4 linked regions of the Lepisosteus oculatus genome follow. The main gene of each other region encodes a partner of the protein of the gene in region 4 in a complex. Links are inferred from orthologs where the notes say so. Each region holds a gene or a part of one and is shown on either strand. Other genes may lie near its edges.

Region 1 (7,540 bases), on a different chromosome or scaffold from region 4:
CGGTCTTCCCTCTGAGCGAGTCCCAAAAACAGACCAAAAGCGCTCCCCCCCCGTTAGTGCATCGGTCTGCCTGTGCCGTCAGTCGCTCAGTCACTGACCTGCAGAAGGCGAATATCCACCAGTACAGGCCGCAGTCCCACTGCTCGAAGAGGAAGAAGACGAGCGCGACTCCGGCGCTGGCGTGGGCCGCAGTGGCTGGAGGGCAGTGGCTGAGTCAGGGAGTGGTAACCCCAGGCGCTCGCGGGGTGCCCTTATGGCCACGAGAACCCGTTCCAGTCAAACCCAGATTCCCCGAGCCTTAAGGAGGATCCCCACTGCTGGTCCTTTGTGACCCCATAGCGTCGGCCAGCTCCAGGTCTCTTAACTGATCTCTTCACTGAACCTACAGCTCACTTAATCAGAGCACTTTCAACTTTATCGGCTCTTAGAAAAACACAGAAATTCAGCTGCGTACCGTACAAAACATGCATCTCTAATTCCAGCCACCCGATTCCTAGCTGCTTCTTCCAGTTCAGGGTTGCGGGACAGCTGGAGACTATCCTGGCAAGCACTGGATGTAAGGCAGGATGCACCCTGGACAGGAAGCCACTCCATCGCAGTGGAGACCCATCTCAGATACACTCATACCAGGACATCTCACATGTCACAGCAAGATGACATCTTTCCCTGTTTGTTCACTGCGCTACTCTCAGGACACCCTGCCTGACACACTGACGGCTAAACCCTGCCTGTGCCTGCTCTCTCTCCGATATTCATCAACCCATCCTCAGCTGGATCGGAGTGTCCAACTGCTTTCAGTATTTCCCTGCCCCTAGGGGAAGTCGGTCCTGTCAACTTCAGGGCTGTCCATCACAGCTCCACATGCTTCCCAACTAAAATTCAACAGGTGGGAGACCAGACTCTGCACTGGGAACAGCATATCAGCCTCGGGCAGCTCTGTGAAGGGACCAGGGAGGTCCGGGCCACAGTCCTGGGCAGCGTGTGAAGGATACAGAGGAGGCCCTGGCTGCTGTTGAACATGGACACGCCGGAGAAGAAGCCGGCCAGCTCGATGGCAAACATGCCGAGGGTCACGGAGAGGGCCACGACGAGCCTGCGACACGGAAAGAGAAGCAACCGCCCACAAAACGTCAGAAGGCTTGTAGTGGGAGAGAACCCCGAAACTGACACTTAACACACAGTTCTTCCCATGCATTGGTAAATATTTACACACAGGCAGCACCAACACTTTCACAGAAACACACATACAATACAGAGTGGTACAGTACCCACTCACTAACCAAAATATTAGGAACCAAGCAGTGAAATCACTACACTTCCTCTGTGTGCAGAACAAAGGGTGCAGGTATCAGACACCATCCATCCATCACCTTTCTTGGCCAGAACAACCTCTCAGATCTCCATCCTGCTGTGAAACCAGTGATACAGGTCAATCCCAGACACCACTGTCCCTCCACAGACACTCGAGTGAAAGGGATGGGACTGGGCTGCCGCCATTTCGCAATGGGGGTCCCTAATATTGTGGCAGACAACCGATCTTAAACATGATGTCGAAATTCCGTTGGACTTACTGTGTATCCTGGCTGTTGTACTCTTCCTGTGTGTACTCTAAAGGCAGGCAGGCCAGGACGTTATTCTCCTGAGAGGAAAACACACCGACACACTAGTTAGGGAGAAGGCCAAACATCAGGGGTGCATTCACCAGGCACAGCACTCAGTCCCACATCGCTATCAATCTTCAGGGACAGCAACATTTATGATTCCCAATTTATTCCCACTTACATATCTGTACCCATGTGTACAGCGGGTCACCTGGGATTTGAACCCACAACTTTCCTGTTACGAGAGCTTAGCCCTGACTACACTGCCATGCAGCACAGGGCAGTGGTAAGAGACCTATTGGAAGGACTAACTGAAGCTGAAAGCCAGTAGAGATCTTAGAAAACTATTAAGAATTTTGCAAGACTGTTTACTTATTAAGACGTATGGGTAAGCCTGACAATTGGTTCTGCTGGAAGTGCGGGCTCGTACCCGGGACCAAAATATTGTGATGACAATGACGAGGTGCGCAGTGAGGGTGAGGAACCGGGCCGGAACCAGGCTGCTCACAGCAGACATCTCTACTTTTGGGGCCGGGCCGGGCCAGGCCAGGTCGGCAGGGCCGAGGTCAGAGGTCAGAGGCACCGAGGCTCGCCGGGACCTGCAGAGGAAGAACAGAAGGACAGGGCAGAGCTGAAACTGGACTCTTTTCCTTCACCCGGGGGCGTCTGACAGATCCGGCCCCATCTTTCCACACGAGGGCTCAAACACTAGGAAAGATTCACCGGACACCCTACTACTACTGCTGCTGCTACTGAGAAGTGGAGCGAACAAGAACAGATTAAGAAAACTACATTTCATATCACTTAGATTAACAATTAGGATAATATATGTGACTATTCGTGACTAGAAGCTCAAAATGTTAAAATGACGCAAGTTACTACGCTCGTACTCCACTAACGAAGTCCCTCCTCACTTCTTTATTAAACCCGGTTGAACATGAACGTTTTTCTTAATGTTTCGTCAAACACCGAGTATTTTAGGAATGAGGAAAAACTGATTTTTTTTTGCACAACAATAGATAACATTATCTAGTGGAATTATTACCGACACCGCTGGACTTGTATTACATACTTCAAAACACCCAGGACGGCACACGGTGCCCGTCTTTTGTGTTAATTTAAGAGTTAACACATTTTAAAACAATTTGTTCGTTTCTTACCGTTACGGTGGAGCTATGATTTATTTTCAAACCGACAAATACAATCCAGCGCCCTCCGCAAATATGATACCAATGAAACAAAAATACAAAAACAACACACTTTTGGAGTTAAAAGGAAAATGAGATGAAAGCACAAATTATGCTTAAAAATCTGAAATTAGGCTTCATAGTTTACAACAGCTCACTAAACAATCGACACTCACGCCGCCCGCTGTCGTTGCTACAGCAACTGAACAGATCTCCGCGCACTCTCGCGAGAAGCCTCGCGTTCTGCGAGGTGACGTTTACAGGGTGACGAAGGAAATCGCGGAAGTGACACGAAATAGCAAATAAAAAATTGGAGACTTAAGTGGAGATTTAAAAACAGAGCGGGCGTGTGTTTCCAGACTGTAGCAAACAAGGACAGTTTTCTTTTGCCACATGTTTGTTAAAACTTTTGATTAGATCAGAACTAGCTCCATCACCATCAACTCCATCACTTGTCCTTTTGTGAAGCACATATAAATGTGTATGTATCCAACCGTGTTTAACCCATGATATACAAAAAGTGTATAAAACACACCATGATATTGCTCTATATACTGTATTGCTCTGCTAACAGACACTGATAGCCGAACCACTAGGAACGCCTTAATTACCACGATATGTAAATTACTTACGCAAGGATTTCTGGGGGAAACGAACCGCTCACGATTTACTGAAATAAAACTTGTTTAATACGGCTGTTGAATCCTTTTTGCCTCGAGAGCTTGGGAACTACTTCCTACTCTCATCGACATTATCTGCTGCTTGTACGGTCGAATATTGAAGTTTAAAATGGGCCAGTTGTCGTTTCTTACCATGACCGGTTCGACCCGAAACATTAAGGACTAACTCCGCGTTAGCAGTTAAACGGTATCGTCAGTGAGGTAGTTCCTTACCTGTTACTCCAGCAATGGAGTTTCAGAACATGATGAATGGAGAGAGATGAGATGATGATTAATATCTCACAATTGATGAGGAATGCAACACCCTCGTTAATTCCATTCTGATTTTCACTGACGATCAAAACAACTTCGTTAAATATAAGAAAATAACTAGTGATCCAGATGATGTGTACTAAAGCTTCGTTGATCTTACTTATTCTGGGTAATTATGTTTCACAAATAAATCTCCTAATTACACTGAAGTCGTTGTTGAAGGAAAAATTTAATTACCTTCTGTCTGTCGCTTTTTAATTTTAATGGAGTCATTATACTTCCGTTTTTAGGAAACTCCACAGTCTCTTCTTCTCTTCTGCGGCAGGAAATAAACCGTAACTTAAAAAAAAAATTAAATGTGTAAACAAATTTGTGTTTACAAATACAAATAGAGGAGAGGAAATGGATGAAAGATGAAACAGAAAAAAACTTAACTGCCAGAGATAAGGAGGAAAAGTATTTATGTGACCAAGTAATATTTTATACATACATCAAATAATAATTGTATTTTTTTTCTTTATTATTCCGAAAAAAAAACATCTCAAAAGGAAACATCTCACACATATTAACACTCTACGTAATAAAAACAACGGCGGAACGGCGGTGATTGTCCGTTATCAATCATTGCAAGTGTGGGTGGATTTGCGCGATTATGAGAGTCCCTCCAAACCCTACCACTTGCTGTTGTCCATTAATCCCTGTACAGGGTCCAAAGTCCTTTCCAGCACTCCCTCGCCGTGGGGAAACCCCATTTGGCAATGTCGCGCTTCATCCTCCTCCTGAGGCCCGCCAGGATCCTCTCCTCCAGCTCCCTCGCTCCCCACTCGATGTTGCGCCGGATGAGAGTGCTCCTCGCGTCCCACAGGCCTTTTTTGTGAGGGACAGCAGCAGCCACATCAGGAACGGCGTCCCCTTGTCTGATCCGGTAGGTGCCAGCCCAAACAAGGAAGGTGTGGAAACACACATCCTCTAAGTTTCTGTGCAACATTCACAGAGATTTAGCCTGGAGTGTCGTCCACCAGTGCTTACCGGTACGAACTTTCTTGTACCGTAGGGGCCTCACCCCCAGCCCTCGCTGCGTTAGGGTGGGCTGCGGCGAGGAGGAGACTGTGACCCATCTCCTGTGGTCCTGCTTTTTTGCTAAGGCCTTCTGGGCACAGTTTGAAGATTGGTTGCAAGCTCTCTCGCCCCAATTTACCCTGACCGCTGCGTCATATACGGCATCTCTCCTGTCAAACTTCCTCCTGACGTGTTTGACAGGATCTGGGCCGTGGTGAACAGTGGGAAAGACGCCCTGTGGAGAGTGAGGAACATGGGGCTGTTCAAAGGCATCGAGGTCCCAGTCAAGGCAGCAGGTAGCCTGGCCCTGTTCATCACCCGAGAGAACTATTACCTCAGAGATCTGTGGAGAGAAGGGAGGGAGGAAGCAGAAAGTCTGTGGGAAATAGAGAGCATAGGTCAATATCTCAAGAAACTGTGAAAAACATTATCATGTTTAAGTAAAGAATGTGATTTGCACCACAAAAAAAGAAATTGTTGCTATGTAACTGGTACCGTGTCAAAATGTAATGAGATGTGATCATATATACTGTTTTAAGTATGTATATTAATGTAAAGCTTTCTAATTTGTGATGTCCTGTATTTTTTTGTGAAAAGAAAATAAAGTTCTTAAAAATCAAATCAGGTGCCAGCCCCAGCAGAATGTACTGGTAACTGAGCACCACACCCGTTCCCAGGAGTTGCATAATGTTGTCCATTCTGCCCCACACCGCCTTGGCAAAGGGGCAGCTCCAGAACACGTGCTCCTGAGTCTCCTCGACGAAACACGTGTCCCGGGGGCAATGCGGATTCCTGGAGATCGAGTGTCTGTAGAGGACCTCTCTGGTAGCCAGTCTCTTGTGTACGGCCATCCAGTTGAGGTCCTTCAGTTCGTTGTCCAGTTCTTTCGGCTGCGTTCTTTCCCAGACTTGTCTGGGAACCTGCAGCCTTTCGTCTGCGACCAGATGCCCCCTCACCTCCTTGTACAGGGCTCTGGTGCAGAGCTCTGGCTGTCTCGTGGCCTCGTACCTCCTGCTCCACTTGACAGTGTGGGTGTAGAACTCCGGTCGCCTCTCTGCCTTGGGCCCGGTGTTTGACCACTGGACCAAGTGCCTCATCGGGACGGAGAGCCACAGCCTGACAAAGTACTGGTACTTGTGGCCGATGGGCTCCCGCAGCGCCCGACAGAGGTTGCAGAAGAAGATGCAGTCGAGTTTCAGGGGGAAATGTGGGACATCTCGACCCCCTTCCTCGACCGGCTGACACATCCGGTTCCTCATGATGTACTCGTACCTGCCGCCCCAGATGAAGCCGAAGATCATCCCTTGCAGCGCTCGTCTGAGTCTGGCCGGCAGCGGGTACACCCCCGCCAGGTAAACCACAGACCCAGCTTCGCGTTCACCTTGGCGATCCTCTCGGTCCAGTTGTTGGTCTTGTTGTCCTGGCTCTGGAAGGAAACCCCCAGTATTTTGAGGGGCTCCGTGCAGAGCTCGAGACCCTCCGGCACCGTCGTCCTGTGCTTCCAGGGCCCGAAGAACTTCGGTTTGCTCTTTCGGCGGTTGAGCTTCGACCCCGAGGCTCTGGAGTATTGCTCCATGACCCGCAGTGATAATTGCATATACCTATATAGCGCCTTTCTGGATACTCCACTCAAAGCGCTTTACAGGCGATGGGGATCCCCTCCACCACCACCAATGTGCAGCCCCACCTGGATGATGCACCAGTGCTCTCCCCACACACCAGCTCTCAGTGGGGAGAACAGAGTGATGAAGCCAGTTCAGAGAGGGGGATTATTAGGAGGCCATGATTGGTAAGGGCCAATGGGAATTTGGCCAAGACGCCGGGGTAACACCCCTATTCTTTTCGAGAAACACCCTGGGATTTTTAATGACCACAGAGAGTCAGGACGTCGGTTTTACGTCTCATCCGAAGGACGGCGCCTGTTTACATTATACTTGAAATGTTTTAAGTTTTTTATAGAATTCATATTTCAACTCCACCTCAAAAGTACTTAAAAGGGGAGTATTATTGGACCATTTTGGTTTATAAATATGAAATCTACCCAGAATGATTCATTTATTATAAATAGATGCTCTTTATTCCGGAATAAACCTCGACTTGTTCCTTTGCAGCCTGCGCTCGCGGACGCAGCTCCCTGCCCCCGAGATGTTTCGTGCGTCTGCCTCCTGGCGCGCGCGGTGCCATCCTCCTGGGCGGGAAGAGCCGAGCGCACGCGCGGCGACGCGACGGCCGCAGGAGCCTCTCGAGGCGAGGGAACAGGCTGCCGGAATATGATTTACAGCCTCGGCCCGGGAAGAACAGGCGGAAGGTGCGTGTTTTACCGAACCAGCGTGGAGTTAATCGGAAAAAGCTCATGAAACGACCGCGTTTGAAAGCGTGAGATGAGGGTTTTTAGAGCGGGAACAGTTGTGTTGTGGCCTGTGAGGTGTTGCTGGATCTGGCCGCATTGAAAATATACTGTACGAGCCAGTGCGTCGTTACTTTTCAGTTACCTGCCATTGTCTCCAGTGGAAATAGAATCGAGTCAAAATCTAGCAGACAGATCGTCAAACCTTTATTAGAGGGTCTATAACTCACCAGGCGCAATGAATGCTCTGACCTCACAGCTCCTGGGACACTTCTTCAAGGCAATGTTTTCTCTGGGATTCTGGTGTTGTGTTTCAACAACAGATTCTTAAATTCTCTATAAATTTCGCCTTGTGCTTCTGCCACGATCTTCGCCAGGAATAAGCCGTTTCCTGCTGAATGGATGGTTTACACA
Region 2 (7,414 bases), on a different chromosome or scaffold from region 4:
GAATAAAAGTATTTCTTTACTGAACACATCTGTATCACACATTTGAAATTCTATACACTGTGTGATCTATTTAATTAAAAACACTTACAGGCTTTTTTCTCCTCTGTCTCTGCGCCTTCAAAGTTCTTTTTAAATTTTCCACTTGTGTTTCCTCATTGTCAACGATTTCCTGAGTTAGAATATAAAAAGAATCTTTAAAAAGAATGTTGATAAGTTTCAATCTTCCTGAAAATAAAGCCCAAACCACAGAGAATTTTGTCAAAAAGACAAATTATTTAAGGTTGGTATCATGCAGTGCACACATTAAATCCTGGGGAAATCATCAATCAATGTGTTATATTTTTTTAAGACAGTTCATACGAATAGCTTTCAGATGTCCATCAGAAGTTTTGACAGACTTGTGGATTTCTTTACACTATTTTACAGTTTTCCCTAAAATCAAAACAGATGATTAATTGCCATGAACAATAGGTAACCCTGTACTTGCTCAGGTAAAACCATAGAGAACAAGCTCACACTTGCATTGAAGAAACAAGGGGATCATTCATATTAATGCTTTTTTTTTTACTTTGAAATTACCTATTAGACTAAAGTCAAATGAATTCAGTTAATACTAAGATACCGTAGTGCTGTTTAGCGTTGTTATTTTATCCGGAAGAGACAAGCAAAAAAAGTATAAGATAGTTTAAAGGACAGGTACAATCCATGTGCCTTATGAAATCTATAGAGACAGCATACCAAACTGAAAGGCTGAACAGACACCAACCTCTACAGTAGCCTGTTCAGTTTCCTTACTGATTTCCATTTCTGTGGTGACCAAAGCCTGGCAAGCAAAACAACACAGCATTTAATGGTGAAAAGGAGCTCTGAGGAGTAGGTTCCTCCCTCCTTTGGCTACAAACCTCATTTCCAGGGCCTGTTGAGTCTTGCACAGAGCTGCCTTGATAAAAGTTATCTGACCTGCTATCAGTCTACTGAGCCAGTCCTGAACACATTTTCGTTTTACTTTTCACCAAAAAGACTGGATTAATATACATTTACAGTTAGATTTCTTTTCTAAATTTATAAGAAGATACATCTTGCATTTGTAGAACAAATGCTAATTTTTGGAAATGATGGGTGGAGTTGAGGGGCTTATTCAATGCCCACAGCAGTAACAGGGAAAATATTATCTTTCACAGTAACTGCTAAGAGAAAAAAATTCAGAAGTGCCATAATGAACATTATTGTTCCTTTATGTGATTCATAAGCTATGGGAAATTAAAAGCAAAACTGTTTAATGTCAGAAAGCATCTGACTCCAGGAATAAATACAGAGACCTCTTGGGGAAGTTTGAAATCAGTGCATCAGTCAGTAAACATGCCTAGTATGAGCCATGTAAGTCCAGTTATCATTCTGCCTTTTTTCAAATTGAACGGCTACCCCCTCTGTATATTTTCATATAATTATCAGTTACAGTACTTCAGTCAATCATCATTTTACCTGTTTATCAATGTCATCTTTAACTCTTGTCAAAGATTCTTGAAGTGCCTTCCGCTTCTTTCTAATTTTCTCACGTAGATCACTGAAAGAGAATTGGGATACCAATTCAGTGATATCAAAATAAAACACTAGCTGCAAACAATAAAGATTCCTTACACTTATATTGCGCTTTTATATAATCAGGACACACCACTCAAAACACTTTGAAGGTAATGGGGACTCCCCTCCACCACCGATGTGTAGCATCCACCTATTTAATATTGTACCCTAACACTGTAGGTAGTCTTTACTAGCTTTCGTATCTTATAACTGATTTTAACACCTTAAGGATGTGCTCTGCTGTAAAAGTAAACCCCCTTTAATATATAACTGTTTGATGCTTTTGGATATATTTGTCCTTAACGTTAATGAGTTTGCATGTTCTCCTAATAATTGAGGGGATTTTCACGAGTTACACTGAATTTGAAGAAGTCCACAGGGTTAACTTATTCATTTAAAATCCTGAAACGCAGAGACAAATCTATCAATACGGCCAGTGGAACTAGATGACATTAAAAGAAACTAAAGGGAAATGATTTTAAAACTTAGAATGGAGGTACTTTTTACACAAAGGATTGTGGATGTCTGGAATACGCTAATACTCTTTCTTCTTTCAAGAATCAGCTGGATGACACATTCAGCTCAATTAGATACTAGAAACAAAGTCAGGTCTATGGACTAAATGGCTTCCATTCTCTTTCAAGCTTTTTTATGTTCTTATAATTATATGGCCCAGTTATTTAAAAAATGTTGACTGCCTCATCAACCAATAATTCCACCTACCTTGAAGAAGCCATGTCCTTATGCACAGCAGTTTGACATCACAAGAAAGGATGCCAATTAAAACTCGACACTTCAGAATTCTCCTTTCTATTGTTGGGTCCCGTCTCAGATTTCTGTAAAAAAAAAAACACTGAAGTCATTTAAGCAACTAATTAATGGTTACTCAAAATCTTTGTCCTGTAATAAAAGGTAGGATTTGTTTCTTATGCCCTAGAGCTATGCAAAAGAAAAATACAACCTCGGGCAAACCTGTTGCATCATAATTACTATCTAATTGGTAGGTGTACTACTTATATAGAAGTGCTATAAACAGACAACAAATAATTTACTTTAGCCGCAGATACAGTACGTACACAATTACACATTGAACAGAATACAGTATAAGCAAAGTTATTTATACAAATAAAAAAAGTAAACTAATATACTGTGCCTTGCATTGTTTAAATGCAATTTATCTATGCACATCTCATAAAACAAGCATGATACCGTTTGTGAAACAGTGAGTGTAACATTTCAAATAAAAGCAATGCAAAGTCACATCTGGCATATCTTTCATTGTTCGATATTCAGACATATACCAGTATATTTTCTTTCGCTGTAAACACCTTATCAACTGCCGCAGGCTGTAACACTAGTTCAGTTTTGCTGCTTAGTAACGACGGAAACTACTTTCCAACCAAACTTGATACCTTGATGTAAAAACAACCCCAGTGCTCCTCTGCACTCACCTCATTCAGCAACTTGCTTGTCAATCAGGGCAGAGGGCGGGCTTGAACGGTCATTAACTATGGTGGCTCGGAAGGGTCTATATTCATTAAATCGATTAGATTTCAAAAGGAGTCCAAAACAAGATTTAAACGTATCTCACAGCAACCTTTCTTTTTTATTTTTGTTACGTGTTTTAGGACTATTTCTCCATTCACCCCAGTTCTATCCGATCTTTCAATTCAGGGTGGAGTTTTTTTTGTGGAGGAAGGGGGTTTAACCGAAACATCCTCGGTGACACTCGCGGGTTTGGAATTAAACCCAGGAATCCAACACTGCGTCACTATGCCACTGTGCCACCCATAACATCTCCTTATTTTAAAATATAACATTCAAAAGAGAAGAAGATGATCGATCCACTTTCCTTTTTTGAATTTATCCAAATTAAGTGACTGATCAAGCTATTTTATTATTTTTAACCCATTGAAATATGTTCTTTATGTACACTTTTTCTCATCTGGCACTCCCATAAACCTGAATTGGATGAAGCATTTAGAAAAGGGATGTATTTTGTCAAACAATCCAAATATATGTTATATTTTTGTATTATACATGCAATTAGGTTATTTTAATCTTTTATATAATAATTCTAAGGTAGTGAGAGGTGGCTTTGAGGGGAAGTCACCTGTTGATGTAAACAAAACTTTAAAAACAAGGCACACCTGGGATTTCATAGGAGGTGAAGCAACTGATAGGATGGGCACAGTGTAGAATTGTAAGAGCAGCTAGGAGGAAAAGGATTTCAGTCTGTGTCTAGGTTTCAATCAAGTGAGAAGTGAGAAATTATGGGGTCTCATAAGTAATGAATTGAGCTGGCTTACAGACCTGCAGTTCTCAGTGAACAAGGGATGCTTGAGAAAATATAGGTTGGACTGTTGTAGGTGTAGGACAGATGGGTGCTGCATAGTAATTAGGAAGAGGATTGACTACACAAAAGATTAATGAATGTGAAGGTGGCAGTGTAATGCTATCCCAAAAAGCCTGAAGATGAGGAAGGTATTGTAACGCTTACGGCCGACAGGCACTGTGTAAGAGCCGGCGTACCAGAGCAGGTGACGTCACCGCCCTTCCCTGTGAGCAGGACTACAGCTACTGGACTGTGGAGAGATCTCTATTAGGCTCACCGGGCTGGGTCCCTGTTGAGTGACATGGGAGTCCTAGGTTCGAGCCCCTGACGGTGTGGGGCTGACCTAATGTAGCAAGGGTGCCCGTCTGAGCCCCTGTTGCGTTACATTGGTGTCAGAGTGGTGTGGGATAGCCCTTCACTGGGGGCAGTGATTTAAGCGGGGGAGGGTGTAATGCTTATGGCCGACAGGCACTGTGTAAGAGCCGGCGTACCAGAGCAGGTGATGTCACCACCCTTCCCTGTGGTAGCAGGACTACAGCTACTGGGCTGTGGAGAGATCTCTCTTTGGCTCCCTGCTGAGTGACGCGGGAGTCACGGGTTCGAGCCCCCGACGGTGGGGGGCCGACCTAATGTGGCAAGGGCACCCGCCTGAGCCCCCGTTGCGTTACAGTATGTTTCTTGCTCAATTGGCACCAAAGGTACTGGAATATTAAGGCATAATAGCTTGTTTGTCAGGCACAATGGGATTGAAGTTGGTTGCTAGGGAACAGAGCTAGCCTGCTTAATTAAAACTGACTGGAGTCTTTGGCACCTGGAGTAGGGCATTGCTTGGCAAGGTAGAAATATGCCATCTCCCTATTCCTGAGAGAGAGTAGTCTAGCTAGCACAGGTTGAGTACCGAGGACTCCCTGGGTTTTCATAAATTGACAGACTGGTGGTCTATGAGAAGAGAGAGAGAGTCTTAAGCAGACTGCTGCTGTGTCAAGGCTGCAAGTGTGGGCTACATGGAGGTTTGTCTGGCCAGGGACAGCTTTATAGGTAGTGATGAGAAGAGTAATTGGTTATAAGTGAAGATCAGGTACTTGGTGAAGATTGAGTGAAGGGTTGGGGTGAAAGTGTTGCACAAAGAATTGAGTGAAAGTGAATTTAGTCAACATTGTATTCAGTCAACATTTAATCTGGATAATCTAGTGCCTGGTTGTTGAAGTGATTTTAGTTAAGACTGAGATTGAGCCTCATGGATACAGTCTAATTGAATATTCTAGTGGCTGATTGTTAGTGAATTAGTGAAGATTAAGAATTGGGAAAACAGATTTAGTCATGTGCCTGGTGATTAGTGAAGATGGAGATTGGATAATCAATGAGAAGATCAAATGACTATTTTAGTCATGCATAGTGCTTGGTGTCAAATGAAGACAAAGGATGAAGAGAGTTCCAAATAGGAAGATCTATAGATGTTGAGTAGAACCAAGTGAAGAGAAACCTGGAAGGAGGAGGAAGACTGTGCGACAGCAAAACATCAAGTAAAAGCTAGGATCACGGAGGCAGTCCAAAAGTTGAAAGATTAAATGATTTTACGTTAAAGTGCAAAACACAAAGGTGACATCCTTCTTGGGGAGAGTGATGTGTGTGCCAGTGGTTGTCACAAAGAACTTTCAGGATCTAATTACATTTAATCTTAAAAATATAAGAGAATAATGGACAACTTCGGGGTTCACAAACATTTTCTCTTCATCAAATAATGATCATACCATTAACATCTGCCACACTTATTACTTCATCTACCATGATTTAAATATGTCACAAATAGCTAAAGCTTCTTGTGATTTTCACCTCACAAGTATTGACATAATTATCCCACCCCCATTGGGCCATCAACTGCTACTTGCCATGTGGCCTCTTACTCAATGTCAATCCTGGGCAAAAATTGCTTGACCATGTTGTTCTAAACATGGTAAGGACAACTCTAATGACAATAGTTAACATATGGCAATGTGCGGTTCTTGCAGAAAGTTAAATGACAAAACGAATGCCATTTTATTAAAAAATGCAGTCTGTCACTGTCTTAGGCACTGCCCCACCAATTCTCTCGACACTTGGCAGTTTCCATGATATGCATACTGCACTTCAGAATTGCCCCTCAAAGGTTGTAGTAATACCCTATATACTTACGGTACAACATGTCATCTCTTGTTTGGTGAATCACATTTCATAATGCAAGTCGATCCTGTGAAAAATAGGACAATTAACTTCAAACATGAAAGCTATCATTGTAGATTCTATACAATTAATAAATATAGAGAAACAGGCTTCCTACATAAATCAGAATGGCCACCATATAGTTCTCTTGTTCATACACTTCTAGTATTGCAAACTGCTGGGTAAAAAATATTTGGTAAAGTATTTCCAAACTTGGTATGGATATGGTGCTTTGGACACCACTGTGAGCTTGGTGGTTAGCACTACTCCCTCAAACTGATTCCTTTCCAACTTGGGGGACCTGTGTGTATGGTGTCTGCTTGTTCTTTCTGATCGTATATGGGTTTTTGCCATATGCATTGATTTCCTCTGATCTCATAGAAGAGAAATCTACTTAAGTTTGACTGCATAAGTATCAGCCGTAATTAATACAAACAGAACATGTGAAGAGATTTATTTTTTCCGAAGGCTTTTGTTAAAACTCCATATGAAAGTTTCATTCTCAACATCCAAGCAGTATGCATTCAAGGTAAAGCATGTTTTTTAAAACAGAAATAAATACAGTACTTTAGCACAAAGTGCTGTCAGGCATATTTAAACACAGTTTGTTTGTATGTTTATCAGACTTATTTAAACAAAGCGCCCATGTTGGAATTGCTTTTTAAAAATTGACCACATGCCACATGAAAAGCCACATGAATAGGAAGCACATTATATAGTCCAAGTAACACAACTAAATAGAACCTTGGATATGAATCAAAACAAGGTGGCACAGTTTTACAAAAACTCCACCTTATCCTAGCCAAAAACAAGTACCAGCAGGTACTAATCCATCATGCTATTCCACCAGAAGCACATTTCATTAGGCGTGGATGCATCTTCCAACATCACACTGACTCCAAGCGAACAGCGTAGTGAAAAAGTACTTAGATCATAAAATATGCCACTCACCACTTGTCTGAAAATGGTTGAAAAGGCCTTGGTCTGAACAAGTCCTGATATGAACATCATCATTGGGTACTGGGATTATATGAATACCACATAAGTTAAAACAGCAACCAGACAGCCTGAATAATTTGTGGAACATGCTACAGGATATCATATCAAATCAAGGAATTGTGTTCTTTCTAAAACAAAGGACTCATATCAATGTATAATATAATGTATTCTTTATTTTACACATTTTGTTGTTTATATATTGCTGTATAATGTATTATGTAAGTACTGTAAACAGATATGCTCTGCTTCAGCCCAGTTTGCAAGAAAAAAATCCAGAATTCACTATAGTATAGTAAGAAT
Region 3 (7,651 bases), on a different chromosome or scaffold from region 4:
ATGGTTTTTAGCAACATACACTTTGAAAGGTAGCTGTGTGGTCTTTATTCCTGCTTCTGCTTGTAGAACAGTTGTATTGGTAAGCCAAATAACTATTCTAAAAAATATGTATAAAATCAGACCTTTTCAGAAAATCCAATTTGCATTTTAATATCATATATAACCATAACTTCCAGAAGGATACGAAAGTGTAGAAGTGTACTGTGTGCCCTTGAATTATTGGTACTTGAGAAAGGCCTTGCAGATCTAAAGCAACCTGACATCTGAAGGATAGGCTCTTTGCATTCTCCTTGTAATAAAAAAAATAAAAGTGAGGAAAATGCAACAACAGCCTTGGGAAACTTCTGCATTCAATGAATTCAACAAGTATTTTACTTCATCTGCACATTCATTTTACTGTTGGTTCTCTGGTTGGGCATAACCTACTGTTTTTGAAAAGCTCACTTAAAACTGGCTGTCAGGACATTTTTCAAGAGAAGCAAATAAGGGCCAGATACCATGAACACAGAATTTAAAACCGAGTGTGGTAAGGCAGAGCTCAATGGTATTTTCATAAAATGCTTAATCTGTGTTGTGGCGGTGTTACCTTGTGAACTTCTGTAGTCTTGAAGTAGATTCTGGAACAAACATTGGAATAGTTCTCTTGTGTCTGAGAGAAGAACACAGATTAATAAGATTTTTGTTTTTGCACACTGTTCACAGGTTCATTATTAGTTTTCTGCTGCAAGGTGTACTGTACAGCATGCTGCACTGCACACAGTGCAACTCAAGGGGGCAATGGATAGCAGTACCGAGGAGAAGAGCAGGAGACTTACTGGCCAGGGGTTATGGGAACATGAACAGCGCCATATCCTCGCACCACGTCATTGCCGAACGCGTCCAGTCCGTACACACTGACCACGATCTGGGGCCCTGCGCAAGAGAGCAGACACCTGCACCTTAGCCCAGTGAAAGCCAGTCTCTCTTTTGTGACAGCCTGGCCACAGCGATGATAGAAATGGAAGTGGTGCTGACAAAAATACAGTTCTTGTCACAAGCAAACGAAGCCCAGCAATTGTTCCTAGTCATTCTTAACTGCTACACAAAATTACGCAGAGCCAGATCTTCCTTTGCCATTGACATGCATTCTTCAACAGCACTGCAATGGAGGTGAAAAACACCCATCTACAAGTATATTTTGTCATATATAGCCAAATATACAATTTGTGCAGTACTGTGTCTAAAAGAACCTTTAGTTCTGTTTCTAAAAGAAAGTAGTATAGTTTTTCAGTAGTGGGTAATCGGTGTCAGTGGGTGTGTCACTCACATCCGAAGGGATTGGTGCTCTTGAAGGTGATATCCAGGGGGAAGTTCCACACACAGCGCTGCTGGGAGTCTCTGCTCTTGGAGGCGATCTGGGAGATCCCCTCCTCCAGGCCCTGCCAGGACAGCGACAGGCATGATCGGAACAGCCTACGCTGGAAGTGAGGGGCCCGCTGGACGCAGCCATACCTATCTGGACGGCCATTCCCCTTCCAGCGAGCTACTGAGAAACATCCAGTAAGGAACTGCATCAGCTGCATGGGAACAGGTAAAGATTTATTCCAGGCTGAAAGGAAAAGAAATGCAGTGGTTTGGACAGCCACTGCCTCCACACGCCTGAAGAAGGCTTCAAAGCCGAAACCTCACATCTCTTCTCTTTTCCTTTCAGCATGGAACAAACCCTTACCTGTTCCTACCGAGAAAGACGTTATAGTCCCTCAACCTCATCTCCAGTGGTCAACTGTATAGATAATTCCAACAAAGAGGTATTTAAGCTCCCGAAGTCCATATTTGTGTCAATTTATGTGTGAATAACAATAAATGACTCCTCTTGGTGTAGCCCTTCAACAAAACACACATCACCTCATGCAAAATGGATCTCCCAGCCTTTGCCCAAGAGGCACAACAACATTTTGTAGTGTTGGCAAGAGTTTCTCTCTGGCTAAACACAGAGTTTGGCTTTTCAGTGGGATTAAAAGCTACCAACTCTCTTCACCATCTTAGGTACTGTGTGATAATACGATTTCAGAATTATTCTTAAACCGAATGAAGGTAATGCTTAAATTAATATTAAACTTTTGTTAAAGTCATATAACTGCTAAACAACTGTTAGAAAACAGGACTAGTTTATGCCATTAGAAAAAAAAGGCTGGCTAAATATTTCATATTTATTACGGTAAACGATTTAGTTGTTTCCGATATAACTTTGTCTTTCACATTACTGAAGTAATACATCGTCCTAATTGCAAGGATCTTATAAAGCAAGGCAACATCAAAAAATGAGCTGATCACAAGCCTGGACTCTGGACCACGGAGATCTGGGAACTGTGAAAACCAGGGCAATATATTAACAACACGAACGTGAAGTTTAAATTGAGGGAATAAAAGCAGTAGAATTTTAAAGCAGAAACAGTACGTTATCAATATAGCAAGCACCCTCAAGCTTAAGTGTCTCACCGAGGTAGGAGCCCAGTCGTGTCCGTATACAAAGCAATATTTGCAGTACAGGTCGTCATATTCTGGAAACTAAGAGACAGTAAAATGGAGATTTAACGAAAGAAAAACAATTTTTACCACTTGGAACAGCGCTCCGTTCAACACACATTGAGCCTCTGAAGATACTACACATGTTTTTAAAAGTTAGCAGAGAGACGGGTTGTATTATTTTACAGAACATGATGTGAAACGGACACTGATGTGGCCACAGGAAAGCGTATCCAGTCTCGTCTGGATCTACAGTAAGTAAAAACAGGAGGCTCTGTGCGTCTAGAAAGGCGGATACTCACGCTGGCTCCCTCTATCTGACCGTTTATCATGAGCAGAAAAACAGATGGATTGGCTGACATTCTGCCCTGTCTCCACACGTTTCGAAATAATAATAATCTGAAAAATATGTTCTATCTCATTGCTATTGTTATTTATTCCTATTTGCTCTCCTGTTAGTGTCACCAACGCCTCTGGATACCAAGGACGCCTCCTGTATGGCACAGCGTGAGGACCAAACAGTGCAAGGTAAAAAAGCGATTGAAAAAACATCGCCCTCTCCTCCTTTTCAATGCCCAGCCCCGTTAGGTTTATGCTTTTACCAACAGTAAAACATAACCTTGAAAGCCAAGACAAATACTACACCACATTAGCACACAGGGTACTGTGTTATGTCACGAAGTTATCATCTAAAAGGTTTCTCGTCTTATCATCTCTGTATACACACCTGAAGAGCTCATTATCGCCTTCTCCTCTAGATGGTACTCATGCAATGTACAATCACTCTGTTCAAGTTTTTTTCTTCAGCCATCGGAAATTGAGGTGAAATGAATGAACCAAATGGCTACAATGCAATCAGTTAGCTGCTGATTGGAGTGCGCGATGAAAGGACGGTTTTCTCTCAGTATTGGTGCTCAGCAGTAGGGCTGTAAAACGGCCGTGATAATAAAAAAAATGTTTTTTACGTTGCTGCTTACATTAACGCAATCTTTATTAGCTTCTGAGAAATAAAACATTTGGCTAAATGAGGCATCTACGCCTATATTATAACAAGAAGTTTTCTTTTTCTTTCAGTTTGGCAAAAAGGTTGGAAAAAGTCGTAAATTTGAATCCTTCTTTCCTGTTTACCAGCATAATAGCGAGTCTAAAATTAAATCTGACCTCATGCGAAGGATGGTGAACATTTCACATGTGGTTAAAACATTTTCGTTTAGTATTGCATTTAAGACCGTTTTAATCCATGCTATCAGTAGAAGGCTACAGTGACTGCAGAGTGAGACGAACTGGGTTCTTCTCCGCAGGTGCTGACGCGCCTTGAGGTGGGACTCGCGTCTTGCCCGGGGCGGCCCCGAGTTCAGCCACGGCGACTGCGGTTACAGTTAGTGGCGGCGCCGGAGATATCATGAGTCAGAGCGCCGTGTTAACGCGTGTCGGGTCCCTGAGTGTTTGTGCTCGGTACGTAGGGATTAGTGTCACACACTGCCTGTCATGTTAGTTCTGCCGTCTGCACAGTTTGGGTACAGCAACACGGCGTGACAGAGGCAGGCGGGAGGGCCGTGATACAAAGCGCTCCAGGAGATAGTAGGAAGGTAGCAATGACACTGACAGAGAGAGTGGGAGGGGGCAGGGACTGTAACGAAGTTTTATTTCAGGCTGTTTACGGTTCTTTACGTCTTTCTTTTCTTTCTTGTGTATCTTAAAGGTCAGGACGCAAAAAAAAAAAAACCCAAACTCCAGCGTGCGTGAAGATGGGGTTTCTGCCAGGCTCATGTTAGGGCCAGGCTCAGGCGAGTTACGAGCAATGTTTTGCCCAGATAATTCGCTCTCTACCCCTGCCGGAAAGGAAGTGCAATACAGAATGTGTACCTGAGTGCCGGCCCCTTGGTGTCTAATTACTGCAGTATTCTCCAGATGGAGGAGGGAGGATTTGGGTCTGTCGTGATTTCTCTTAATTAGCAGGAGGAGGATATGATCAACAAAGCTACTGTTTTGCGAGTCTGCCACGGTTGCACCCTTAAAAAAAAAGCCCTGAGATGAAACGTGGACACGTCTGCCCTTTATAAAACAAGCTGAATCACATAAATGCAATTTGCTGCACCAAAGCAATAGTATTTATAGTTTCATAATTGTGCTGTTGGATGCTTAAACAGAACTGGCGAGCTGTGTCCGAGAAATGGATAGATGATGAGGGTGTAGTTCAAGCCATTTTGTTGTTACTTTTGAACTCTTGTTTCTTTGTTTTTCCTGGGGGTTGTTTCGCTTAGCATAGATCATGCAACGTGTTCCTTCAGGCTCTGTAAATTAACCGTGTTCCTGTGACCTACAGAAACCACCCCCAGGCTGAGTATACCATGCTTTAGCAGCTGCTTAGAAGACCTCTAAAAAAGACTACCTCCCCTCCCCTCAGACACTCCCCTTTTCTTATGGTAGTAACGGTGAAACAGAACATCCTGCCTGACTAGATAACTATCCTGGGTGGCAATGGTTAAATAGTAGCACCATGGCGCCCCCTGGTGATCAGTCCTAATGCTTTGCAGCTACAGTGCTGCATGCGCTCTGCTGGGTGTCATTGCTATCTCTGCACTCACTGATACAGTGACCTTTTCTGTACGGAGAGCTAAGCATCACACAGCCCACTGCCCAGTCACGACAGCTGCCTATGTATCTTATACTCTTCCTACCAAAGCTATCTCAAGTAGGTTCGGACTGTAAGACAGAGCTATTTCCTTTGCTGAATGTGTGTTTTAGGGTATGAGAAGACTATCTGCACTCTTAAGTCTTTCAGGACACATGGTCTTTCATCATCACCATCCCATAATGTCCTTCAGTCCTCCCAGTCATCACTCCCTCTGTGTTGTTTATTGTCAGTTCCATCCTGAAGCAGGTCAGGAATGTGCTTTAGTACAGGCAGGAAAGACAAAGACCTTCATATAGCCCAGACTGAAATTACAGCAGACAGGGAAGATATCAACAGATGGCAGGCCATTTATAGAGCACTGTTGACGGGTAAGCGTTTGCCAAGATGGAATGGACTTCAAATATTTTGTGAGTGAGCGTTGAATAATGTCAATAACTTGGCTCCACAGATTTGGGTCTCTGTGAGGTAGTGACCTACGAAGGACTGGTGTCCCACCCAGGGTGTATACTGTCTTGTTCCCGATGCTTCCTGGGACAATGTGACCCTGGGCCACTGGGAGCCCGAATCGGATCAGGGGTTTTCGAAAGGGATGTGATGATGATGTGAGGTAGTGATACGTGGCTTTGAGAGAATGCCACCTGTTGATGGGGGGGGGGGAAACTGAGGAAAAAAATGAGGCACATCTGGGGGCAAATTGAATAATTGGCTCAGAGAAGGGGTAGAATTCCATATGAGGGAAATGATCTCATAGGATAGGCTGTGGAGGAATTGGCCATGCATCTGGGCTAATTAAGAGATCTATAAGAACAGTTAAGAGGAAAAAAGTTTCAGTCTGTGTTTAGGCTACAGCCTAAAAGGAATGAGTTTGAGAGCTCCAGAGTGGGAGATCTCATTAACAATGGACTGAGCTGCCTTACAGACCTGTGTAGCTCGGCAAGTGAGGGATGTTTGAGAAAATATAGCTTAGCTTGTACTGCACTGTGTAGTGAGGTAGCAGCATACAGTGCCTTCTTCCCCACAGCTGAGAGTGAGAGGGAAGTATAGATGAGTCCTGTGTACTCCCTATGCATTAACATCAGCAGACAGATGAGCGATGTCAGAACATGAGATTAGAACCAAAAAGTATGTCAGGGATGTTGTTTACAGACAGGTGTCTCTGGCCAAAAAGGATTAGCCACTATCGTTAGCAATAAGTTAATAGTTGTTAGTGAAAACAACAGCAGAGATTAGAGTGGAAGTGATAATTTTAGAGTAGACTGCAACTGGGCAATGTAGAGTTAATAGAGCTGAATTCTGTGTTGCCTGGCTATGGTGAAGTGAATTTAATGAAGACTGTTATTGGGTGACAGAGTCAAATTAAATACTCCGTGCCTGATTGTTAGTGAATAGAGATTAGTGAAGATTAAGAACTGGGTGCCATGAAGTTAAATAAGTTGATCCTTCAGTGCCTGGTGATTAATGAATACAGAGTGATGAACTGATGAGAAAATCTAATTGATGTGATGAGCATGTGCAGTGTTTAGTGCCTAATGAAGACCAAGAGCGAAGAGTTAGTGAGCACATCTAGTGTCTTTGCTTTGAATCAAGTAAAGAGCAACCTGAAAGGAAGAACTTGGCAGACTTCCCTGAAAGGAGAACAAATAAGAGCTTACATCCCAGGTGAACGACTGAGCACATAAAATACAGAAAAACTAAAGTAACATGCTGGTGGTGAAGAGTTCATGGTGATGTGACATGTGCCTGCACAGTTTATTTAAAAAAAATATATAATCAAATATTTAGATTTTAGTAGCCTTATAGAAGATTGAGACACACCTCAGCAACTGCAAACTGTTAGTAAACTAGTAAAGAAAAGAGATTTTATTATAGGGGGTTCAAACTCAGCTCCTGTAAGGTATAAAGTCTTCTTGTTTCCCGAGCTTTAGGTTGCATATTTGCTTTAACTATGTAATTGCCTTTTTCCAACCAAGCTTCAAGTTTTCACATAGCTTTAATTTTTTTAAGTTCTTTCGTATCGTCTGACAATAAACATCACTCTGCTGAATTTAATGAAGTGAATGCTTTGAGTAATTGGCTTCAAAAGCCCTTCAGAAAAAATCCCACTCGTCTAATGAAGCAATCAGGTTAATTGATTAATTGACCACTCAACGTGGAACAAAACCCAGATGACACTCGGCCCTCCAGGACTGGAATCTGACATCCCTGATCTAATTTGAATTAGCAGTGATTCAGTACAGAAGTGATAGTGGTAGGCATTTAAGGGTTTTGTTCTTCCTTAAGAGCTCATAAAAAATTGTGCTGCTGATGAGATTGTTGCTGATGTGCCATTGCATGTAAAACGCATCTTTATAACGCATCCATAGCCATCCGTAAGGGAGGGGAAGCAGGCTTGTTTTCATCTGCGAGGGCTGTGACGACAGACAGTGCAGGAGACACTTGGGGGACGCAGCCCTGAGCCCCTTGGCTCTGTTGAGGGAGCAGGAGGTGGGGCTGAGCTTCAGAGAAGTG
Region 4 (7,477 bases):
GACTCTATGTGGCCATAAAAAAATCCCAGGGCGTTTTTCGAAAAGAGTAAATGTGTAGCCAAACTGACCAACCTAATAATCCCCATCTATGAAATGGCTTCATTAATATGTTCTCCTCCCAAGAACTGCAGTAAGATGCAGGACATTCAGCACCAATCTGAAAGGAGACACATCCCTCATCGACATCACTACAAGCCTGCAGGTTCCTGAGAAGTTCTGGCAAAGTGTGTGTGTGTGTGTGTGGAGACACATCAACAAAGTTAGTGGTGCTGCTTTGCCAGTATACAATGCCCCACCAACTCTAATGTTGAGAATTTCTGCAAATTCTCTTATACAAGTTGTCTTAAAAATAACCGATGTAAAAATGTTGTACCAAGGCACTGGCAATCTCATCTGAAACATGAAACTGCAGGCTAGAGAGAGACGAAAAAAAACAATGTGAGCCTAAGTGGTTCAGAGAAGCAATACTGGCATGAACAGGAGATAAATGTTGATTTTGCATTATAAAGCAGTTACTTTCCTCTAACTGCAGTTGCAGTAATCGGGCTGTGCAGACATCCGATTTGCAAGCTGTTTGCACTCTCTTCTCTGAGAATTGATTTGAGCACACAAATACAAATCCTCCCTGAGGATTAGTATGACTCATTCAGCAGAATAAGAAAATTCAGGGAATCGGTCTGTTCACATGGAAATGGGTAAGATTTAGTGCATCATGTGCTATTAGAATAGTAGGAGGCAGTGTAAGAGACAAAGGTAGTCTTTTTGTTCTTTCGTGCGAAACATTATTCAATACAAAAGCACATATGGACTTAAAACATATGAAGGCCTGAAAGCCGATATTAAAACTTCAGATGTCACCTATTTTTGATACCTTAAATATGCAAGGCTCTTGTGACATGAGACTGTACTCAGCAATCCTTCAAAGTCTGACAAGCTTTCCAAGAAAAACAGTTACGCAGAGTTCAACATTTAATCCCACATGAAACAAAAACACAGATAATCGATGGTAGTCCACTACTGGCTGTGCAAACACCAGCCAATTCACACAACAAAGGCCCAAAGTAGACAAACCAAAAACATGACCCTCCTTATACATCAAGCAACACTCCAGAACCCTTGCAGAGAAAGCTGAACTTGCCGCCAGGTCACTTTTAGTGCAATTTAACATTCTGTACGGGGAAAATCAAAATATGTTTTTGTTATTGGGTTCATGTTGTGTTTAACGTATTTTGTTTCGTCTTATGTCTTTTGCCTGCAAAACAAATTTCCCCATTGGGGACAGTAAAAGTAAAGATGTTTAGAGCCGACTTGCTTCCTGATATATAGATCTGTTCAATTTGCTAATAAAATTACAAGGACCCAACAAGCAAATACAGCTCTCGCATGACTTCAGGCTGCTGCTGCAGGTGGATCAGGCGCTCTGTCGTCTATGCAGAGATAAGACAGGACTCGGATACAGATTCCTCTATAGGATGATCAGAGCTGAGCCTGCTGAAACGAACGTGCACATCAGAATTTGAGCCCTTGAAGATTGAGAATATGTTGCAATTTCTTCTATTCCTAGATAATCCCATTCTTTTTAAAAGCTGTTTTCTGAATAGAGGCTGCATCAGGTTTCCCAGAAACCGGTGGCAGACATCTTTCGTTTCTGTACAAAGGTGCGCGACCTGAGTGAAACACGAAATAAAATAAACACGCGTCCTTCGATGCATACCCCCTTGACATTCTCAGTTAAGATATGGGAATAACTAAATTTTCCTCAAAACCCCCTACTAACTACCACGGATTTGCCCTTCGAGGGAAAACATGTTTTTCAAGGTCATAGTCCGCTCTGACACGTATATCCAAACTGTTGACGTCTGTCCTAGTTCAAAAGGTGGGCAAGATCACTTTGCTGCCAAAGGTCGTACCTCCTGGCCAGCCCCAGTGTTTGCCAGCCCCGGCTTGGCAGAGAACACGCCCCAGTCGTGGGTTTTCACGTTAGGACGGGCGCCCCGGGGTGACACTGGGAACTGAAACAGCTGGCGGCGCGCGCCGCTCCCTCTCAAGTGCACCTGGCTCGCGCCGGAGAAGGACAAGGACGGCGCTCGCGGGGCGCGTACAGAACGTGACCCAACATGGCCGCCTCCATGCTTAACCACCCTGACCTCTGCAGAGCGGACACCGGCTGTCCGGAAACTAAGACTGCGTTTACCCCCCCAAAAAAAGAGTAACAACGCCAGGGTGAGCGAGGATTGATGAGGGATCTAAGACCTCGTTAAGGCTTCTAACATGCCTACGCCGAGACACTACGCTCAGCACACAAAATGCTTCCTGGTGCAGCAGCCGTACGCGGAAGATGAAATAACGATCCACATCTGTCTCGCAAATACACCCAGATGAAACCCGCAAGCGTTAATTGTAATCGGAACCTTTCTCCTCATGCTGTAAAAGCTACACAATGGAGGGTTTTTTAAAACACCTTGGGAGTGCACATCATCGCCACTAGTGGTGGAGATACAAAGCCTCAGTCTACATCTCGGCGATCGAGGTAAAAGGTCACGATCACTCGCTTGCAACAAATTCAAGCTTTTCTTAGCCGCACCAAAAACACTGAAGTAGTCCTTAACATTAGTAAGTGTTTAAGCACGGTAAAATGACAATAGGTTCAAATTCCATGCATTGCAAAAACGTAGAAGCACCGTGCAGATGCAGAGGCTCTTAAACACATCCTGCCACTTAATTAGCTCTGCAGTACAAATGCGGGATAATGCCGGCATTAAAATCTTCAATGGTGATGTGCGCCGACAGGTGCAAATAGAAACAGTGTCAGAGCTGCGTGAAGGAGTATTATTGCACGACTTCGGGGAAAATCGTCTCAAGACGCTGCCGGTACCGATCAAGTACCACACACCAGCCCGGTGCCACATGTTGACATGAGACCAGGTCATGCAGTTCAAGTGACATTCCAGAAAGGGTATTTAAAAATTAAGAAGCGCGATTTACGGTGTTTTCCTTAACCTGCGTGGACTCGTTTTACAGTACTGCAGCTCAACAAACCTCCAAGGTGAAAGGGCTCCGATGCTTGATCGTTTTTTTTATTATTATTATTATTATTATTATTATTATTTCGGGATGGGGGGTAGTAGGTCCGTTGGAGATCAGCTTTAAACGCTTCGCCCTGGCGCTGAAATCAAGAAAAATCGCCGGACTTACCCAATACATCAGCGGATCTATGCCGAGCAATGAAACAGGCGTCATCGCCGTAACACATCCCCTTCTTCAAAATCCCCTTCCGAAAGTCTTTCCCGAAACCGCAGCTTGCCGTCACCAGGCTGTAATCCCGGCTATCTGTTTGGGAAAGTCCGCCCAGGACAGCCCTGGCAACCAGTCTGCCATAGGAGAGAACGGACAACATCCCCCCAAAAATAGCAAGAGTCCACCTTACCTCCTACCTACTCTCTCCTCACTCTGCCTCACTCACTAGTCTCTCAACAAAACAACATGCGGTTACCCACACTAACGAACAGGGAAAAAGGTCAGCCCCACAGTCCCAGAGGAGGCGCCTTTTTAACGTCTTTTTTTGTTTTCTGAAAGGCCCAGGACGAAGAGTACGGCTGGGAAGCGTCTTCAGGTTTTGGCGTGGTATTTCGCGAAGCCGGTGGCTCTCAGGTGCTCCATCCTCTCCGCCATCTTTCCCTGCTCAAGATTGTACAAACGCCCGGGTTCCGGCGAGCGCGAGCTCCACAGAGTTCGGGGGGCAGTCTTGTGACTCCTTGACGTCATTCGTTGTTACGCAATAGGGGGTTTTCCTTAAAAGGCCATCAATCGCGACTTTCTTCAAACTACGTTAACGGGGGGGAAAACTGTCGTTTTGAAAGGATCTGCTCTCCCCGTATCATCGCGGTCATTTTTACAGACTTTTGTCTTTACATTTTAATTCATGCCATTTAATCGCCTTTCCTCCCACCAAACGACTGCACGGCTCACTGTTACGAAGAAATGAAACATTAATCGTATTGCTTAAATCACGCGTTGTAGCTCCGTCTGCAAGAGCATAAGGCATTTCAGAGATAATGCTATCGTTTATTATTTAATTTGGTTTGGTTTAAATTAATTTAATTTATTTTAGTTTCCTGGGAAATTATTTTTACAGGATTTTATTCGTTGTATAAAGTCTTATATTATTCCCCAACCATGCAATTGGACACTACCTTATTGTTGTTTCAATCAGGAACTTAAGTACACTTCTGTGCATTACAGTTCAATCTTAAATATTAGCTTTATTTGTAAAAGTAAACTTTGCACAGATATTTTACTGAAACATTTAAATGAGCAAATAAATATTACGATCCAGCAGAATTTACCTTAAGAGGCTTGCATATTAGACGGTACCCAGATGATAAGGACAAATATACAGTGTATTTATGACGTTGCCAGTACAAATCATAACAATGAGGTACTACCATCACGTTACACTGACATTCTGAAATTTAAGAAGATCCCAAGGTTGCACGGAGAGGTCGCTGAAACTGTCGCCATTGTGGCTCAAACTGACTCCGAATGATTACACTCTGTCCTTAATTGACCCCTTTCCAAGAGCCAAGATGGCGACAGCATGCGTAAAACCTTTCGTACTTATAACCTTGAATGGAGCTTTCGTAACACTATTATTTTAACGGCCAGAAAACACGAATTCGTTTTCTTTTACTCCCATCTTACATCAGCAAAATAATAATACGATCACATGAATTATTTTATTTATTTTACCCGGGATGCCCTTCCCAAATTCAGTTCCTGGATTCGAAGGCTCAACCGTCTGTTTACGGTTACTAAGAGCCATGGCGGTGTCGCTAAGGTTTTTGATTTTCTTTAACTTCGCCTCTATCACTCGTTTGCAAACGTTTACCACGTCTCTGGCGCAGAGTGGAGACACCGGAGCGACAACGGCAGACGAGCCGTTCCCCCCAGCAGACACGAACGACTTCAACACTACGGCGGAGAACTTTGCGGCAGCTTCTGTCTCCCAGACGGCCGGAGCTGCTCCCGAACCGCCGACAGCTGAGTCAGCCGAGACGGGGGCCGCACAGCCGACCAGTGCAAGCGGTTTCCCCTCTCCTCTCAGCACCCCTGAGACGAACACAGCCCCTCAACCCGAGGCGACAGCCCGGAGCGACGTGTCTCCGAGAGCCGAGGCGCCCTCTTCTCGGCCTCTGCCGCTCTCGGGTTCCCTTCCTCCGCCTATTACTAACGGTATGATTACACAGCAGGCAATGAGCAGTTCAGTGACAGGTTGGAGATATCTGAGGGACTTATTATTTTTATTGTTGTTATTATTATTAGGGCTGCCGTGCGAGTACAGGGCAGCCCGCACTCCGATCCTGAAATCAGATTTTGTTCTGGGTCGAAACAACTAGGCATTCACCCACCACCCATCCATGAGCATTATTTTGGAGGGTCGTCAGCGGTTGCTAACAGTCACTCTGATCCTCTCTCCTCAGTCGCGAACGTGTGTCCCTGCGATCTGCTGTCGAGTCAGTGTGACGTCAACTGCTGCTGCGACAGGGACTGCGAGGGCGATTTCGCTCTCTTCACCACCTGCACCGTCGACAGACTGATGTAAGTCATCGCATGGCAACGTCCTGCATTGGCACTGGGGCTTTTCCAGACTGGGGAACCGTGAGCTGTCCTGTGCCTCTCCCACTTCGCGGCTAGGTGGCGCAGTGCTAACAGCGTGGAGTTTGTACGTCCTTCACATGCTGGTTTCTGGGGAAATTGCCTCTGGTGTGTGTGGTGTCTGTGTGAGCCCAGAGATGGACCGGTGTCCTGTCTAGGGTGTATCTTCCCTTGAGCCTGGTGCTGGCAGATATATGCTCCGGTCTCCCTGCAACCCTGTATAGGATAAGGAGGTTGGAAAACGGATGGATCGGTGTCCTACTTCCAGTCCCTCCTTAGAACTTACCAGTTATCCTATGATCTATCTTGCTCTTTCAAAATCTTACAAAATGCTGCTTGTCCTATAGTTTAGAACATAAGCACCCTTTCCTGGCCTCTTTATTCAGCTCTATTCTCTTAGTTGATGTTCTGTTTCCCCCTAATTTATGACAATTCTGATACCTGTTTTTGACTAACTGTATTTATAGTAATTGTATTTAATTTATGTTTCCTTGTATTTGTTAGATCACACTACGTAGTAGTATACTGTGTAAGTTATTTGCAGGTAACGTGTGTGTATAATGCAGAGTGTGTCATTATATCCAAAGTGCATATATTAACACAATGTATTTATAAGACATCAGTCTGAGGAGTACTATGTATGATTATATCTATTAACACTACAATAATAAATAGAAGCTGCAAAAAGTAGCGTTTTAGCAATGATAAACTGTATGGATGAAAGCCAGTTTGTAAGTGTTACTTAGATATCGCCTTTGCTTTCTCTTTGCCATGAAGTAGTTATCTACAGTCCTGTTAACATGGACCCACACAACGTTATTTCTGCATAACCGGTTCCTACAACATTTTGCAGTTCATTTTCAGTCGAAGTGCCAGCCTGGATGTGCCACTGTGGGAGCAGTGTGAGTGATGGCGTGACACTCGGTCTTGTGTGTTTCAGTGCTGACTCCCGGCTCTGCAGCCAGCAAGCTGCTCTCTACACCATTAACACAGAAGATGGCCTAGCGCAGGTAGAATCCACTGTAGCGCAAGAGATCAACCCAGGTGTCTTCTGCATCCAGACTGCCAACTGTAGGTGAAGTTTCGGTTCTAGCAACATGTAAAAAGGACCCTTTATCATCCTCCATGACTGCAGGAATAATGGAAAGGAAAAAAAAAAAGTAGCCTTTCGCATGCCTGAATGTTACTCATACGGTATATGTGATGAGTCAAAAGAGAAACTGCAAAAGAGCTTTGGTTTTTCTTTAGATAAGGATGGCTTGTCATTTGCTTCTCCGGAGATTCCCACAGATGGGAATTTTGACAGTCTGTTCAGGCAGTTCGGTGGGTTCTTCTTCAGCCCCGCAGATGGAGGTGGGACCGATACCGCCCCCGACAGGGCAGACCTGCAGGCCGCCTCTGGCTACCAGGTAAACGTGCTGCAGTGGCTCTGTGTGTTTAATCTCCGCCACAGTTAGTGTAGGCCAGGACAATGCTCAAGTATTTCTATACAGTACATACAAGTCTCCAGGTACCTTCCGTAAAAAATAAAGCTGAAGAAGGCTTCACAGCCAAGACGTTGTGTTTTCTCTCTTCTCTTTTCGACAGGGAATAAACCTATCACTTGTTCCTTTTAAGATCTGGGAAGCTGTAGTGGTGTTTTAAATTTTAAAGTGATGGAATTTTACTAGGGTGGCGCAGCAATGCAGGTTTCCTCCCACAGTCCAAAGACATTCTGGTGGGTTAATTGGCTTCTGAGGAAATTGGTCCTGGTGTGAGTGTGTGTCTGTTTGTGTCTCTGTGCCCAGCCGTGGACTGGCATCCCCTCCAGGGGGGTACCCCA

What was found.
Region 1: tectonic-1 (region 4) and transmembrane protein 107 share a complex: the UniProt entries of both Homo sapiens proteins name them as parts of the tectonic-like complex. The link is inferred for Lepisosteus oculatus from reciprocal best matches to the Homo sapiens genes TCTN1 and TMEM107.
Region 2: tectonic-1 (region 4) and cc2d2a share a complex: the UniProt entries of both Homo sapiens proteins name them as parts of the tectonic-like complex. The link is inferred for Lepisosteus oculatus from reciprocal best matches to the Homo sapiens genes TCTN1 and CC2D2A.
Region 3: tectonic-1 (region 4) and b9d1 share a complex: the UniProt entries of both Homo sapiens proteins name them as parts of the tectonic-like complex. The link is inferred for Lepisosteus oculatus from reciprocal best matches to the Homo sapiens genes TCTN1 and B9D1.

The regions. Positions count from the first base shown.
Region 1 is NC_090698.1:9,297,542-9,305,081, reverse strand, and holds the start of transmembrane protein 107, read right to left. Parts: upstream 3,004-7,540; 5' UTR 2,762-3,003; intron 2,201-2,761; 5' UTR 2,119-2,200; coding exon 2,032-2,118; intron 1,640-2,031; coding exon 1,572-1,639; intron 1,094-1,571; coding exon 993-1,093; intron 196-992; coding exon 99-195; intron 1-98. UniProt on the Homo sapiens protein: Plays a role in cilia formation and embryonic patterning. Requires for normal Sonic hedgehog (Shh) signaling in the neural tube and acts in combination with GLI2 and GLI3 to pattern ventral and intermediate neuronal cell types.
Region 2 is NC_090696.1:45,323,459-45,330,872, reverse strand, and holds the start of cc2d2a (coiled-coil and C2 domain-containing protein 2A), read right to left. Parts: upstream 3,001-7,414; 5' UTR 2,910-3,000; exon of another isoform or gene 2,883-2,909; intron 2,418-2,882; 5' UTR 2,319-2,417; coding exon 2,305-2,318; intron 1,565-2,304; coding exon 1,483-1,564; intron 824-1,482; coding exon 767-823; intron 170-766; coding exon 89-169; intron 1-88. UniProt on the Homo sapiens protein: Component of the tectonic-like complex, a complex localized at the transition zone of primary cilia and acting as a barrier that prevents diffusion of transmembrane proteins between the cilia and plasma membranes.
Region 3 is NC_090714.1:12,532,690-12,540,340, forward strand, and holds the start of b9d1 (B9 domain-containing protein 1), read right to left. Parts: upstream 3,020-7,651; 5' UTR 2,868-3,019; coding exon 2,808-2,867; intron 2,548-2,807; coding exon 2,479-2,547; intron 1,419-2,478; coding exon 1,307-1,418; intron 913-1,306; coding exon 816-912; intron 650-815; coding exon 587-649; intron 1-586. UniProt on the Homo sapiens protein: Component of the tectonic-like complex, a complex localized at the transition zone of primary cilia and acting as a barrier that prevents diffusion of transmembrane proteins between the cilia and plasma membranes.
Region 4 is NC_090717.1:10,245,881-10,253,357, forward strand, and holds the start of tectonic-1, read left to right. Parts: upstream 1-4,460; 5' UTR 4,461-4,754; coding exon 4,755-5,232; intron 5,233-5,480; coding exon 5,481-5,598; intron 5,599-6,595; coding exon 6,596-6,726; intron 6,727-6,903; coding exon 6,904-7,064; intron 7,065-7,477. Other genes in the region: pptc7a (protein phosphatase PTC7 homolog), read right to left, coding at 3,196-3,397. UniProt on the Homo sapiens protein: Component of the tectonic-like complex, a complex localized at the transition zone of primary cilia and acting as a barrier that prevents diffusion of transmembrane proteins between the cilia and plasma membranes.